Macaca mulatta: one gene and its partner. The protein of the gene in region 1 interacts with the protein of each later gene in a pairwise test. Links are inferred from orthologs where the notes say so. Each region holds a gene or a part of one and is shown on either strand. Other genes may lie near its edges. The genes, in order: alpha-2-macroglobulin and C14H11orf58.

Evidence for each region.
Region 2: the proteins of alpha-2-macroglobulin (region 1) and C14H11orf58 interact in a two-hybrid assay, tested with the Homo sapiens proteins (2 studies listed by BioGRID and IntAct). The link is inferred for Macaca mulatta from reciprocal best matches to the Homo sapiens genes A2M and C11orf58.

Annotation. Positions count from the first base shown.
Region 1 is NC_133416.1:11,489,252-11,493,669, reverse strand, and holds the start of alpha-2-macroglobulin, read right to left. Parts: upstream 2,988-4,418; 5' UTR 2,918-2,987; coding exon 2,832-2,917; intron 588-2,831; coding exon 404-587; intron 1-403. UniProt on the Homo sapiens protein: Is able to inhibit all four classes of proteinases by a unique 'trapping' mechanism. This protein has a peptide stretch, called the 'bait region' which contains specific cleavage sites for different proteinases.
Region 2 is NC_133419.1:48,715,684-48,720,053, reverse strand, and holds the start of C14H11orf58 (small acidic protein), read left to right. Parts: upstream 1-1,525; 5' UTR 1,526-1,697; coding exon 1,698-1,760; intron 1,761-4,370.

The DNA of each region.
Region 1 (4,418 bases):
CTTTGCTCAGGGCAATTTCTACAATTTTTACTCTTAGAAGTAGTGTGGAGCAATGTGTTCCCGTCAGTCCACCACTGGTGGCTCAAGTTGAGCCTTGGCCTAGTTTGCTTTATTAATATTTTTTCCATCTTAATTTTAAGAAGTCACATTTTGTTTTTCTTTTCCTTTCTGGCTAGTAGGTTTCTATTTGATTATTAAGTGGATTTTTAGTGTGCCTGTAAATATTTGTCTCCCATGGCTGGAGAGTCATGCATTGCTCTTCAATTTCTATACTTAGCTTGCTACATTTGAATTCTTTCTGAAGTTCTTACCAGCCTCCCAAAGCCTCATCTTGACAGAATACTAGATCCCTATGACCCTGACTAAAATAACCAAGTATATTAAGTCAAACAGCCACACTCACAGCAAAGGCGACGCAGTGGAGCACATCGTTCTCTGCCTCCAGGTCAGTGAAGAGGCTCCTGTTTCCCCTGACAGACTCCAAGGAAGCACTTACAGTCACTGTCTCGTTCAGGTAGCTCAGAAGGACACAGCCCTTCTCAGGGGTCTCAGTGTGGAGCAGGGAGGGGACCAGAACCATATACTGCCTGGGAATGAGACAGTTCAGTTAGAGGAAAGTGAAGGAAGAGAGGCATTGATATCAACAGCACTTTTTCCCATCATAATAATTGTCATCATCAGTTCTACACCAAGAGAAGACATACTGATGAGCATGAAATTTGGCTGTTGAAGGCCATGCATAAGAATTATTTCTTCTTTCCTTCACATGCCATGGCAGTGGACATTTTACTTGAGGTAGGTATTAACAGATTAAAATTTGTAGGCATGTTTCACTTTAAGGAACAATTTCTGAACATCTGAATTCAAATAAAAATATGTAGTTACATTTGTTCATGTTGTAAATCTATTTTACCTTCAAGTTGCTGTAAAAAGTAAGCAAGCTCTCAGTCATGCGGACATTACAAAAGCTAATCAAATTATAGAATTCTCATTAAAATATATATACACACATACACACACACACATATACACACATTCAGCAGCCCTATGAAAATTGTATGGTAAGTACCCGCTCCCACTCCACAAATATGGAATCTGAGCCTCAAAGAAAGTGAGCCATTGCTTTACAGTCTCAGTTGTGGTAAGCAGCTAATAAAGTCTTAAGAGTGTTACTTAACCATGGATGTTTGCATTTTAAATATTTGCCTTTCAGCTCATGATCAGACGATGGCTCCATGCAAAAACGGTCCTCTGGTGATTGACTTTAGACCTTGGTAACTCATGTGAAGTACAGAAACTTTCTCAGTACCCTGACATAATTTAAGATGAATCCTGTAGTTTTTATATGGTTTTACTCACAGAACTCCTAAAATAATTTTTGGACACTGTGCGCTCCTTACATATTTTCAAGTAAACATATTTTTATCATGATTTTAAATAATAGCAAAAGATATTATTTTTGATGATATTTTAAATTAATACTTAGATTAATTTTACAATTTTCTCATGGAATAATAAACACTGTAGTATAAGATACCTACTATCACTATTTGAAAATACATTAAAAATTCTTTTAATGATCTGATATATAATATCTTTCTCTTCTTTTTTCCTTTTCTAATTTGAATTTCCATGCCAATTACTGTACAGAAGTTTATCCTAAATTTTTATATTTCAAAAAATTTTGTGAATTATCCTTACCTCTTTATTATCAAGCATCTACACATATATGTATGTATACACATGTTCACATATATACATATATGTATACATATACATAAATACATATATATGTAACATATGTGGATAGGTAAATTTAACTTTAACTCCTCTTTTAAATAGAATGTGACCATAAATTTATAAATATTAAACATTTCCTTCTGATTGAGCTATTTAAAAAATACTTGTATATAACTGATCAAAACAAAATAAATACATTACAAAGTATGATTCATACATATTAGATATAAAATTAAAATACTTTTGAAGCACATCTTTAATGAGAATGATGAACTGCTTTTCCCCCCAGTGAATTTATGTATCCATGGATGAATAGTCCGTATTGCAAGAATTAAGCAAGATCTAACATTAATTCTGTTACTATTTTGTTTTGTGTAGATATAAGTGCTAAGAAGAATGGTTCATGTAAAAGTAAGTAAATGGCAGGTAAAACAATTGCATCACTGTTACCACTTCTTGCAACTTCTGCATTACATGCTAAAAATCACCTAGTACTCTATTATCAAGAATTGCTTCTCATCACTCATCAGCTGGTATTTCCTTTAGTTCCTTCTTTAGTTGTGTTGAAACAAAGAATTCATCACCACCTCATCTGCAAAAGGGTTTTCTCTTCTGACATTAGAATCTCTCGCTTTTTCAATATCAACACCAGTATTTCAAATTGTTCCTTTATTTGGCAGTCTACAGATTATTATACTCCAGGGCATTATTCCATGTTTGGTTGTGGGAGATAATTGTCTTTATTTTTATAAAATAGAAACTGGACCCTTAAGAAAGAGGAAATAAGAAAAGATAAATAGCATGGTCTCAAGTAGATCAATATGAACAGGAAAATCTAAATATTATTCTTTCAAAAAAACTAAAAATTTCTGACACTCCTTAGGAAGGCTTTGCATATTACAGATTCAGAGAGTTGGGGAAGAATGATGAAAAATAAGCAAGTAATGAGTAAACCAGATTTATAAAATCTGCAAGGAACCTTAGAGACAAGAAGGCGACAGTATCATAGGAAAGAAAAAGGAATGATGGAAAAATCTGCAATAAATGAAGGACTCTAGGTTAATGCTTCATGCTCTCTGTGTGGAACTCACGGTTTTCCAGAGACTGAGACATCTGTGGGCAGGAGGACCAAGAGGAGAAGAACAAGACTTGGATGAAGGAGTGTGTTCCTCCCCATGTTGCAGAAAGAAGGAGCTGGAGGAGACCAGACTGTATTACACCCTACTCCCTACAATTCATCTGGTCCCAAACACTTCCCAGAGCAACTGGGCTTTATGCTGCTCTGTGTGCAAACAGGAAGTTCCACCCACACAAGATCTCTAAACAAAGTTGAGGTCTCTGAACATTCTCTGGAAAGGTCATTGATGGCTTATTTATAGTCAAAGTTAATTCCTGGCGGGCTAAATAGAATCCCTGGAGGGCTAAAGCCACATTCCCGTAAGAGCTCACTTTCTCTGGGTTTTACCGTAAAGCAGCTAATAAGCTTTTCAACCTCTTCTCTCCCTCACTCCCCCACAACTCCTCACAACGCCTTTTATGGTGGTTCTCACATCTCTTGTATGAATAGTTGGCAAGGGAGACTACAATTTAAGCAACACTGGGCAGGCTCAAAATAGATATTTCACTACAAGTCAGCGTGGCTGCAAGTTCTCCATTAGATATGCCTACCCTAAATGTTTGAAGCCACATCAGAATTCTGTAGTCCTCTTTGAAAATGACATGAATTAAACCGGTAGCTTTTTGACATTAGGGATATTACTGGATTGCAGATGAAGAGCCAGGCCCTGAAAGAATGATCATAGCAAAGAGTTTCCTGTTTTAAGAAAGTGAAACAAAGAAAGGTGAAGTAACAGGACTTTAAAAACAAATTTTGACCTATTGTGCCTAACAGACTTCCCAACTGCCTTTAGCATCGACTACACAAACTTCCTTACTGCCTTCCAAATATGATACTCCTCTGCAAACTTTAAGTCATATAAACAGTTTCATTAGTCCATCCATCCATCCTATTCATCCATCTATTTATGTAGCTATTCAGCTGCTTTGTAAGTATTTTTTGATCCTACTAGGAGTAGACATCATGCAAGATTCTCGAGATAGAGTGGTCAAATCAGTATGAAAACAGGCACTTAAAGGTTTTTACATTCTTGTGGAGGCAAAAGCAGAAAAACAGAAAAACAACTACTGTATAAAATACAGTATAAAATACAATATAAAACTACTGTATAAAATACAGTAGCCAAACATATTATTGGAGAAGTTCAGGATGCTCTGGGAGCACATAGGAAGGGCACATAACCCAGACTTGGAACCTTTTAAAAAAATTTGGAGGGAAAGCAAAATGTAAATTAAGATCTGAAATATGAGTAGTGGTTGTCTAGAAGAACAAGGAGATGAAAAGAGCTTTCTAAGCATAAAGAATGACAGACGCAAAGGTCTGGGAGGGAGAAGAATCACGGCACATGCATGAAATGAAAACTATTTGGTATGGAGGAAATACTCCTTTCTGATGCTTCAAATCAGAAAGGAACTTGTCGACAATATTAAGGTATTCAGAGGAGTAATCAGTGGATTGACTTCAGATTTGTTTCCTGGAAAGCTTGCTCTTATTGAAATTTGAAAGGGCCGCTGGAAAGAGGTGATCCAAGATGCAGGAAGACCAGATGGGAGTTGTTGTA
Region 2 (4,370 bases), on another chromosome or scaffold:
TGGTTCAGTGATGATCTGAAATCTGGGTAAGTAATATTGGTACACAGGCAGTCAAACTAGAGCAATTGCTGAGTTCAAAAGCTAATGGCTAAGCATTGTTTCACAGACTGCTGTCAGTTCCGAAACACTAGATATGTATTATCCATATCACTTAACTATTTATTTATTTATTTATTTAGAGATCGAGTCTTGCTCTGTCACCTAAGCTGGAGTGCAGTGACGCCATCTCAGCTCGCTGAAACCTCCGCCTCGCGGGTTCAAGCGATTCTCCTGCCTCAGCACCCCAGTAGCTGGGATTACAGGCATGCGCCACCACGCCAGGCTAATTTTTGTATTTTTAGTAGAGACGTGGTTTCACCATGTTGGTCAGGCTGGTCTCGAACTCTTGACCTCGTGATCCACCCGCCTCAGCCTCCCAAAATGCTGGGATTACAGGCCTGAGCCACCGCCCCCGGCCTAGTTTTTGCTTAAAAAAAAAAAATCACGTTTGTATTCAAGGTGAGAAAGCTTCAGAATTACTAAGGACAAGGATTCTGACAGAAAGTTCAGACCTAGTTACAGATTCAGACACCTTGATAAAGTAGGAGATAGTCTCCAGTATCTTAACAATAAATACTTTTAAATGCAAGGCTTTTTGAGTAGAGGCGCGATTACTTGAATCTGGAGAGGGCGAGAAATGGGGAGGGACTGCTAACGGGCATTGGGGTTCCTTTTGGAGTGGTGAAACGTCTTGGAATCAGAGGTGACAGCCGCACACGATTGTGAATGTACTAAGTGCCACTGGACTGTACACTTTAAGATGGTTTTTATGTGTGAATTTCATCTCAATAATTACTTTTAAAAAAAGTGGGGGGGCTTATGTGGCAGGGATGGACTTTGCTTGGTGAAGGCCCCTACCGTACGGTGCCCAGACATCTGCAGCGAGGTCAGTGAGGAGCACTCCCACCTCACACAAAGCCATATGAAAACTTAACAGATTTCCCTCAGCTGAATCCCCGTTTTCAATAACCGCCAATTAGCCAACATTTAACAACATACTGAACTCATTTCTGTATGGGAAAATAGCGAAATATTCATCAAAACCTTTAGAAAGCAGCATCACCGGCCACCTAGAAATCCCCTACGCGCAATAGAGAACACCGGAGTGGAAATGGTAGAAGCCATTTTTTAAGGTTTTTGTCCTGGGTGGAGAGTATTCGTGAGGATTCAGTCAGCCTGAAATATTACATTTAAACACAGGTGCCTAGTTACGATGATACATTTGCCAGTAGGGCAGCGTCGTGAAAGGCAAAAAGCCCTCTAAGCCACCTCCTGTGGCGACCAAGCTCTCAGTCAACGCTCACCGCCATACTCATCCGCGAGAACGCTCCCTCCACCAGCCAAAGGCGGGGCCTCCGAGGGCACTCCCGCCACACAGCGCGAATTGAGCTTCCGGGCTTCCTGGGAATTGTAGTTTTAGTCACCGACACATCTTTGTTATTCGGGCCAGTATGCGGTGACTCAGAAAACTACAATTCCCAAAGTGCCCCGGGGCGGCGAGGGGCCGCAACGGTGACGACTGTCGCAGAGAAGGCCGGGAGGGGCTCTGCGTTCCGGAGTGGTGCTGCTTGGGCCGGTGGTGGATTGCAGGCTGCTGGTGTTGCGGCTGGGGAGAGCGGCTAGAGGGTTCGGCATTTTTCGTCGGGATCCCTGCAAGGATGAGTGCTGCCAGAGAGTCTCACCCGCATGGGGTGAAGCGTTCGGCCTCCCCAGATGACGATGTAAATAACAATGGCGGAGTGGCAGAGGGTTGAGGCCTACGAAAGGCTGGAGTAGGCCAGGAAGGGTGGTTGGAGGAGGACGCGCCTGAGGTGGCCCGCAGCGGGAGAGCCCAGGGGAGAAACCAGAAGAATGAGTGGGAAATGTCTCCCTTAATCTTTATGAGGGTGAGAAGGTTTGAAGAGGCCCACACGCTGGGAGCCGAAGACCTGCGTAGGAAGGGGGATTGAGGAAGGAAATTCGGAGAGGGTCGAGGAGTGAAAGAGCTTAGTCAAGGGATTTCTTACGTGCGTTTTGGGGGGCCGATGAGGATGGTTTCTCGGGCCTTTGTGCTCACGATAGAGACGGCGAGACTCTCCCTGTTTTGGATTCTAAATGTTCCTGTGACAATGTCGAAATGTTCGTGCACATTTGGACAGATTTTCCTGCCTAGATGATTTTTGCAATGTGCAGTTGATAGTTAACTTTAGCTGCACTAGTAAGGGTAAACCGAGAACAGTATTGAGCCGAAAATTGTGCCACGGGTGTAATTTGGTACTGGCTTTGGTGGTGAGGTCTGAGACGTTGAGACCTAGAAGCCCATTTTGATGTCGGATATTAATACCTTGTTCTTCTTACCTCGTCTCCCCATCAAATGCCGTTCCCTTCTCCAGCCCCCACCTCATAGGTTTTAATAGCAAACGGTTTATCTCTTAAAGTAACCTATTAAATATTTACTGCAGTGCCGGGTGTTGGGAATTCGGAGAGAAATATGATGCTTATTTTAGGCCTTTTTGTATATTTGCCCTAGCTCGTAGCGCAGTGTCATGGAAACAGTAGGTAACCAGTAAACGTAAAAGTAGGTCCTTCATACAATGGATAAATGTCTTGGCAACGTTGATGGGGAAATTGTTGGAGAGGGAGCGGAGAGGTCATCTTTAAGGATGATGAAGGGATATCTAAGTTTTTTTCGGTTTTGTTTGAAGTAGTGTAAATTTCTGAATACATAGAGCTTTTAATTTTTCTATTTCCGTGCTTTTCATAAAATTTTAAAAGCCTACTGAATACTACTTTGTAGCAAATGAGATGGTGTTAAGACCTGCCCCTCTGAGTGGGAGGTGGGGCGAGGACCGGAATAGTAAGGGTCTTTAAAGGAATCGACTTCAGCTCTGCAGAAAGATTAGCTATCAATAAAGATTTGGAGATGAATGGGCATCTAGAGAAGTTTATTCTTGCTCTCTGTTGTTTCTGCTACTGGCTTTTCGATCTTGTTAATATGGTAATTCAGGTTTTGTCAGGAATTGATTCACGTTTTTGAGTAACCTGGCTCACTTAAAAAGCTGTTAACATTGTTTTCCTCCTGATCTTTAAATATGACTTGATTGCTAGGATGTCAGACACCTGTTTGGAAGTATCTTTTAGCGTGACAGAAATCTCCAGGTGATACGAAATTTCACAAAGTTAAAGGGATTAAGTCATTAAGTTTACAGCTTTGGAAGAGATTAGACGACCTTTAAGACCTTTCCCAATCATGTAAGCGTATCTTTAAGTACCTGGGTTTTGTTTTTGTTTTGAGACTGGTGAGACACGGTCTCTCTCTGTTGCCCAGGGTGGAGTGCAGTGGCACAATCAGTGCTCCCAGCAGCCTCCACCTTCCTGGCTCAAGTTATCCTCCTGATTCAACCCCCTCTCCCCACATCACCACCACAGTAGCTGGGACTACAGGTGTGCGCCACTACACCCAACTAATTTTTTGTATTTTTAGTAGAGACCAGGTTTTGCCGCGTTGCCGAGGCTGGTCTCCAACTACTAGACTCGAGCAATCTGCCCACCTTGGCCTCCCAAAGTGCTGGGATTACAGGTGTGAGCCACCTCGCCCAACCAGTACTTTAAAAAAAAAATTTTTTTAACCATAGGTAATACATTCATTAAAAGACCTCCAAGCTGTTGTAGGAAAAAAAAACTAGCAGGCCGGGTGCAGTGGCTCACACCTGTAATGCCAGCAGTTTGGGAGGCCGAGGTGGGCAGATCACAAGGTCAGGAGATCAAGACCATCTGGCTAACACAGTAAAACCCCGTCTCTATTTAAAAAATTAGCCGGCCATGGTAGTGGGCGCCTGTAGCCCCAGCTACTAGGGAGGCTGAGGCAGGAGAATGATGTGAACCTGGGAGGCGGGGCTTGCAGTGAGCCGAGATCGGGCCACTGCACTCCGTCCTGGGCGATAGAGCAAGATTCTGTCTCAAAAAAAAAAAAAAAATCTAGCTGTAACATATAGTTGGGAAACAGTTTCTAATGAGCATCCACGGTATGTAAGAGATCATTGAAGTTTTCTTATGCCCATTGACCTCACATCTAATTGGGGTAACAAAACATTTTTTTAATATTAAAAGTAGATAATCACAGAATACAACTCTAGCAAAATGCTAACAATGTAGGAGTAAATTCTAAGTCACCAGGGTGTGTATTCAGAAGGTAAATTGATTGCAGTTCTGTAGGAAAGGGTATTAAGGATGAAGACAACTTAAAAGTAGTTTCAATGGCTTGGAGTGGAGAAATGAAAGCGATCTTATAGGAAGTGGGAAGAGTGGGGAGTAACTGCTAAGGAACCTCTCTTAAAATGTATAGTGCACCC